Linked DNA regions of Danio rerio. The protein of the gene in region 1 purifies or fractionates together with the protein of each later gene. This does not show direct contact. Links are inferred from orthologs where the notes say so. Each region holds a gene or a part of one and is shown on either strand. Other genes may lie near its edges. The genes, in order: map3k2 and traf7.

Region 1 (4,366 bases):
ATCCAGTGAGCTGCAGCTCTGCTGGTATTGTTGCTGAAAATGTCCTTCCCTTTATGACCACAGTGTACCCATCTTTTAGTAGCTACCAGGATGGTGGGGACAAAATTTGGCATCCACACCATGGAAGCAATGATCGATTCTGCTTTGTATCAACGATTGAGGCTAATGGTTGTGGTGTAATGGTGTGGGAGATATTTACTTGGCACACTTTGGCCTAATTAAACCAAATGTGCCATGTCATAAAGAATTAATCATCTCAGACTCGTTTCTTGAACATAACAATGAGTTCACTGTACTCAGATGACCTCCACAGTCACCAGATCTTAATCCAATAGAGCGCCTTTGGGATGAGGTGGAATGGGAAATTCGTATCATGGGTGTGCAGCCCAAAAAATCTGCAGCATCTGTGTGATGCTATCATGTCAATTTGGACAAAAATTTCTGAGGATTATTTCCAGTACCTTGTTGAATCTCTGCCATGAAGGATGAAGGCAGTTCTGAAGGCAAAATGGTGGTCCAACCCAGTACTAGTAAGGTGTACCTAATAAAGTGACCGGTGAGTGTATGTTCTCTTGCGTCAGCTAGTCAGGGTGTGCGTTTACTACAGTATCATGTATTGCCAGTAGTGTCATCAGCGCAACAGGCCAAACATGAGTCAAAAACTATGGCCTCATTTTGCCCGTAGTAAACATGCACCCTGATCAAACATGGAAGACATCAAAGAAGAAATTTATTTTGTAATTAATTAAGGAGCACAAATTAAAGCTTGGGGTCATGTTGGCGCAGTGGCTAGCACAACCGCCTCACAGCAAGAAGGTCGCTGGTTCACAGTGTATGTGTGTGTATGGATGTGATCCCCGTGATAGGCTGCAGATGGAAGGGCATCCGCTATGTAAAACATATGCTGGATAAGATGGTGGTCCATCCCGCTGTGGCAACCCATGATTAATAAAGGGACTAAGCTGAAATGAAAATGAATGAATAATTCTGATCTTTGAAAATCTTTTTGGAGCTTTGTATGATCACAGTTGAAACACAGAAGTCACAAGGTTTTTGGTTCGTTTTCTGGATTTTAAACATCTCTGGAGCATGGTAAAATGTCAGTGAACTTCATGAGGCAGGGTAATTAAGGGTACTGGAATTTACAATTTTGGGTGAACTAACCCTTTAATCATCTTTATGCAATCCACAACTTTCTCCACCAGATGGCAGAATGTTTTGATGAACTAGGAGAAAATAATATATCTATATATACTCTGACAGACCTAAGTCATTCATGAATGTGCCGTTTGTATTTAACGGTATAGACTGATTTATCTCAATTAAAAAATATTCATAAAACCAGTGAAAACCCTGTGCATAGCGGATGTGCATTCACGCACGCAGCAAACATGTGCCTGTAAATCAAATGGGAGTTTTTCGGAGAGCATTCAATATTCTGATTGGTCGAAAACAATCTAACCGCGTTCTCTGATTGGTTAGAATTTGACACTGCCGCGTCTCTGACCATCCGAGGCCTTATTACGATGTGTCCGTCGGCAGATGGCGCTGTCGAGACATGTGAGTTTGAGTGAAAAGACAGCGGTGCTGTTCTAAAGTAGTGTGTGTGTGTCTGCGTTTGCAGTGTTTTAAGTGTACTTAATACCTAACACCTTTTGCTAAATGTGCCGTTTCGTCTTCTTGGATTAATTTTCTGACCAGACCTTCACAGATTGTGCACTGTTATAGTCGTACATCGCGAATCTTCTCTCAGTCTAATTGACAACAGTTGATCTTCGTCAGGTCGAGCGCGTTTAACCTAATGTAAACAAACCTCCGTCCGCGGCCGAAGATTAGCTTTATTCATCCTCACATTACCCTGGATTTACCGTCAGCAGCTTTCGCTTACCTGCAAAGTGAGCTGTGGTCAGCGGGAGATGGTTTGGCCGTGCAGGCAGGCCTTGGACTGAAGTTAAAGCCGTTTATTTGAGTCTTGTCAGAGTGTCAGATTCCTCTCGAGGCCTCACATCTTTGGATGAGGAAGTGAACGGATCGAGCTCACCCAGGTGATCAAATGATGTTTATTTTTATGCGATTAACAGGATGACTGAATTACGAAGACAGTTAAATCAGACATATCTGTTTGTGTCTTTCTGATAGCTGTTTGAGCTGTTCGTTAGCATGTTTGCGCAATGCTAACTGTGGCCCAACTGTTAAAAGAGCTAAACGGCTAACAGTGTGTTATAAATGTGTCAGTGCAGTAGTTTTATTTAACAATATTTAGAGGCACATATTATATTTTTATAAATACATTAATGCCATTGTGATTTATGTTATATATAATCATGCAATCGCATTTGGTTGCTTCTTTGACATGCAGTAGTTTTGACAGGTATGTGTGCTAACCAGTTAGCTTGAGTATTAGCTTTCTAAGGAAACTTCAAGTTACATTTTATTTAGTTGTTCATCAAATTGCATATCATATTGAGAGTTTTTAATGTGCTGTGCACAGATTATGACACGTGGTCATAAATGGTAAAAAGTGACTTGACATATGACATTCTCTGATAAGCTATTTATCAGTTATTATATGTTGACTTGTGTTTTGCTGTCAGGATTTTGAAATTTAAAGTTAGATACACATGTTTAAACACCTCAGAGTTAAACAAGATATTGTCGTATTAAACATTTAAGAGCTTGATAATGAAGGACAATAAATGTGGCTTTTAATAAGAGATTATTTCATTCTAATGTCATGATTTTGTATAATTTATAAAGCATTTTCCCTTGTGTCATTATTAATCTGTGTTGTTTTGTTGCATTGTAAAGCTATAATTGTGCAATTTAGACCTAGTGATTTTGGTCAATTCGATCACTACAAATACGTCATCTTAATAAATAATTAGATTATTTTATAATCAAAGTGTTATTATTTTTTTGTATAGGAGAAAGGATCCCATTTCATGGGAGAATCCTCTTTCCTTTACTCCTGGGTGAATCAGTGATCAGTCAAAATGGGTAAGTGCACAAATGTTTTTTTAAGTGTTTGTATTGAGGATAGGCATGGGCCGGCACAGGATTCTGACGGTATGATAACCTTGGATAAAAATGTCACGGTTTTACGGTAATGCAGTCTTGTGATAACTGCTATAAAATATGTTCTTTTTAAATGTCTGGCTAAAAAAACAAAAACTCTTTCCCCCTTTGAACACAATAGATTTTATTTTGAGAAACACTTAAAATATTTTGGAGCAGTAAACATGTCAGGCTAAATAATTCAAATGAATCTCTGACTTCTGCTGTCTTCTACTGTTTCAAAAACACAATGATATTTTTACAATTTAAAATGGCATCTTTGAATATCTTTTCTGCTGGAGATATAGTTGTCATAAAAAAAATGTAAATAAAAAATCTTAAACACACCTTAGGAACGGTATAGCAGAAGATTTTGATGGTTTTAAAACCTTGACTTTTCCAAACCGTGGTATACCTTGAAAACGGTTATCGTCCCATGCCTAATTGAGGATTAATAAATATAATGTGAATACATAATAAAATATATTGCAGATGAGCAGGAGGCCCTGAATTCCATCATGCAAGACCTGGCGGTGTTGCATCGATCCAGTCGACCATCTGTTCTGTCTGACCTGGCCAAACCCAAGGCCTCCTCTCCCAAGAACCAGGTCTGTATCGCCTCTTTTCTAATTCACATCAGCAACAGCTACAGTGCTCAGCATATATGAGTACACCCCTCACAAATCTCTCATTTAGATTCATGTTTTCAATTGGAAGCTTCACAATATTATATTCTTGCATATAGATTGATTAGTGAGTAGTAAAGCCATGTCTGGAGCTAATCTAGCAAAATAACTTACAACAACGGTTTAAAATTTGTATAATGATTTGATTATTATAAATTAGGGTAGTATTGTGTTGTCTTTATATTTCTGAAGATGTTCGGGGGCCTAAATATTATTTTATTAAATATAAATTTGTTTAATTAATATGTTTTGTTCAAATGCATCAAAATATATGACCCATATTTACTGAGAAATGGATAAAAATGTTCATTTTCACAATGAGGTGTCCTCAATTATGTTTAGCTCCATATTTGAGGTATTTTGTTTCTGATAAATGAGTTGGAGCTAATCGTCCCTAAGACAGATGTTGAACCTATTAAATTAGTTTTATTTCTTTCCAAATTTCATTAAATTTATTAGTTTTTTAAGGTTATTACTAGGGCTGTGCGATTTGGGGAATATCTAATTATAATGTTTTTTTTTTTGACAGATATTGTGATTTGATTTACGATTTAATTTAAGCTGATTTTAATTTAATTTAAACTTCAGCTCAACAGTCTGTAAGCCATAGCAACAATTCTGTGACA
Region 2 (3,833 bases), on another chromosome or scaffold:
GTTCTCTTTGAAATAGACTCGACAAAAATAAATAAATCACTGTCCTGCTGTTTTTAAGAGCTTCAGGTTCTTTTTTAAAATGTTTAAAAAGCAGCAGCAGTTGCCGATTTCCTTATTTTACCAAACTTTGAACAGATTATTATTGGGCCTAATGTTTACTTTGCGCATGTGATCATCCTTTCATTATCGCACACAGTGTTTTTTGTATGCTTTCTTTTGCTTACAGTTATTTTTTTTTATACATGGTTTAATTATCATCCTTTACAATAACTGCTTTACTAGAAGATTAACTTCTCATTTATGTATAGTTAACTGGTGGTCTGGGACCTTTAGCCTGGACAAACTACTGTGCATAGTTTTAGATACATGACAATAGTTATTTTTAAAATTATATTTTCTTAAAGAAAGGCTATGTTAAATAAAAAGTGGATGTTTATTTATTTTGTTTTAATAATTTTTTAAAATTATTTAAAATGTGTAGCTAAGGAATAGTTAGGTATTTGTTTATTTATTTTTGGGGTGACCAGAGAAGGTAAATCCTTAATGCTGAGTTCTGAAAAATCATTTGAAATTAGAACTAATTCCAATGCAACATCATTAAACCAAAAACTATTTGCTGATGCTCATTGAGCAATGTCATACACAACAATCAAAAAGTGAAATGAATGAGAAGGGGACATAACACAAAACCTAAATAAAGTAATTTTAGCATGCCAAAGTCAAATTTATTCATATAAAATATATTTTCCCAACAACCAAATTGTGACTAGTGATCAAAAAAGTTAAACAACATTAAAAAGTACATTAATAAATAATCTTTTGTTAAAACTTTTATTGCGGATGAACGTTAAAAATTTGCTGGGTGTTAGCCCGATTGGGTAGCTTTACATGGACAATTAAGACCTGTTTAAAATTATTTAGGTATTCATTTTATGAGTTAAAGGTAATTATTCTTTTATATTCCAACAAAATTAAGACTTTCAGGCCTAAATAAAATTTTGTATATTTATGATGCTGCAGATACCCCGAGTAGATTTCTCATTTTAAAGGTTTAATTAAATGATATAAATAAAAATCACACTTTAACTAATAAAACCTGAATAATTTATACACATTAACAACGGCAGTGACCTTTATTAAGTCGTGATTAATTGATTAATTGATTTGTTTATTTAAAGAAAGTCTGCTTTGCCCGTTTTTTTTTTTTTTCTGGAGTTTGTATTTTTTACGAATTAATGAAAATAAATTATTACAGGCATAAAATTCAATTTACTTGATCGTTTAAAAATAAGGGATATGTAAACTCATTTTCAAGACTGTATGTGAAAACAACCTAATTACCCAATAACCAGCATACAGTCCTTTATGATGAAATCTTGGAGATCCTGAAGCAACTGAAAGGGTTGTTTTGTATTCAAACCGTTCAAAGTTTAACACTCCTAACCTTTATGGTTTGATAAGATCCACTGTAAAGATGATTCTGAGAAGCAACCAAAGCTCGAACCCAGTGATTTAAACCAGTCAGCTCCTTCTTTAGCTTCAGCTCTGTGCCAACAATATCCCACACCTACAGAGACAGAGAGAGATGTTCAAGCACACTGTGAATTGGTAATCTGGAAATTCCCTGAGAGATGAGCTCATTCTGCAGTTGAGCCTCCACTCCCTCAATCCTCCCACACATAACCATGGTGATACAAGCACAGCGTGAGCTCTTCAGACGCTCTCGCATAGCCAAGAGCATCTCATTCTGCTAAAACTCTGTGCTTCTCCGTTCTCTGCTGGAGATCGGATCCAATCCTCTTCAGCATTTTAGGGAAAACATTGTGCGATTGTTAAAGAATCATCTAATATTAATAATCTAAACTATCAGTGGTTGTTTCGGGTAACTGCAATTGTTGCAATCCCTATAGAATGCACATAAACCAAAATATGTAGACATTGATCTGAACGCTAATGCAATTTTAGTTTTACTTTCAAATTCACAACACTTTGCAGGGTGTTGAGTGCATTGCATTGATGGACACCCCATGGAAAGTTGGATACATACCCTTGGTAGCTTAAGCAGAATAGAGCAGCGTATTGGTCATTTGCAGGTTAAATTTGCATTGACAAGTTAATGAGACTGTTCACTCAAAAATTAACCATCTGTTTCTTCTGTTGAACTTATTTATTCCGAAGAATGCTGGTTGATCATTATGGGTGTCAAAATTAATTGCTTCTTTGATGCACTGCGATGCAGATGTTAACGATTCTGTATTGGTTTATTAATAGATCACCACCGGTTATTATGTACTGAAAACATTTATTTCATAAGCGCTATGTGGCAGTAGAAAACTATTCTAAAAAGGCAAAAGTGAGTAACTTAAATGCTTCAACTACTTAAAAGGCAAACAACTGTGCACAATTCACTTTTTTCTACAGGTATATATATATATATATATATATATATATATATATATATATATATATATATATATATATATATATATACATACATATACACACACACACATATATATATATATATATATATACACACATATATATATATATATATATATATATATATATATATATATATACACACATACATATATATACATACATACACACACATATATATAAATAAATAATTTATATATATATATATATATATATATATATATATATATATACTTACATATATATACATACATACACACACATATATATATAAATAAATAATTTATATATATATATATATATATATATATATATATATATATATATATATATATATATATATATATATATATATATATAAAAAATTCTTGAATTAGCTAGTTATATGAAAAGCATATTTCCAAAATATACAATTATTGTCTGTAACTGCAATTACTTCTTAGACAATTAATTGTCAGCCAAATTTCACACAAAAGAGGTTTATAGAGCCAACATGCACATCACCAAATGGGGCAGAATGAAGCTTGACATTAGCTGCTTGATTGGGCATGTGTTTGCAGACGCGCACATCATCTCTACAACAGACGATACTGACCTTAATGGCTTTGAGAGAGCCGCTGAAGAGCATGTTGTGTGAGGACACTAGAGTGCACACAGGGTTATCGTGTGCCCGGATGGTGTTCACTTTCTGAAGGGTCTGGATATCCCAAACCTGAGGAAGAGCAAGTGAATGTGTATTAGTTACTGTCCGAATCAGTAGTTTGATTCCTCTTTTAAATGCACTTCAGGGACACTCACAATGATTGTACAATCAGCTGAGCCACTATACAGCTTGTTCCTGCAGAAACAAAAAAAAATGTGCAAGAATTTGTAAGTTCCCTTGTCCATTTAAAGACAACATGAACATGACATTTGCAACCGTTTTTACTTTGTTAAATTCTTTTTAAATATTGTATATTTTTATTAGAGCTGTAACCAGAGCCTAAAACTACACTTCATAATTGTTTTTTCAGTGCTTTCAAAATAAAAGCATACAGCTTTTTGTTTGGTGCTTTTTAAAATGCACAAAATGGATGTGACTGTGTGTCATTCGTAAAACATGGTTATGTCCACATAAAAATCAGTGCAGTGCATCAGATTACATATTTATATGATTATTTTAATTTGTAAAGCTGGTTCGGAACAATAGTCATTTTTCTTAAAGGCCAAATTGTGCATAACACTTGTTAACATTTCATATACTTCTTATACTTGTCAACCTCAATGTTTATTTTGAACTTGATGACTGTTAATTTAGGCCATTACCTATAATACACTGATTTGACTTTTTCAGTAGAACTCAGGCTTCAATGTAAGAATGAAACACATCTCTCACTAACAATCTGCACTGA

Evidence for each region.
Region 2: the proteins of map3k2 (region 1) and traf7 purify together in Homo sapiens (affinity purification with mass spectrometry; 3 studies listed by BioGRID and IntAct, with this or other methods). This does not show direct contact. The link is inferred for Danio rerio from reciprocal best matches to the Homo sapiens genes MAP3K2 and TRAF7.

Annotation. Positions count from the first base shown.
Region 1 is NC_133181.1:10,489,802-10,494,167, reverse strand, and holds the start of map3k2 (mitogen-activated protein kinase kinase kinase 2), read left to right. Parts: upstream 1-1,547; 5' UTR 1,548-2,045; intron 2,046-2,924; 5' UTR 2,925-2,993; coding exon 2,994-2,997; intron 2,998-3,546; coding exon 3,547-3,662; intron 3,663-4,366. UniProt on the Homo sapiens protein: Component of a protein kinase signal transduction cascade. Regulates the JNK and ERK5 pathways by phosphorylating and activating MAP2K5 and MAP2K7. Plays a role in caveolae kiss-and-run dynamics.
Region 2 is NC_133178.1:34,483,111-34,486,943, reverse strand, and holds part of traf7 (E3 ubiquitin-protein ligase TRAF7), read right to left. Parts: intron 3,281-3,833; coding exon 3,241-3,280; intron 3,155-3,240; coding exon 3,038-3,154; intron 1,568-3,037; coding exon 1,445-1,567; intron 1-1,444. UniProt on the Homo sapiens protein: E3 ubiquitin and SUMO-protein ligase that plays a role in different biological processes such as innate immunity, inflammation or apoptosis. Potentiates MAP3K3-mediated activation of JUN/AP1 and DDIT3 transcriptional regulators.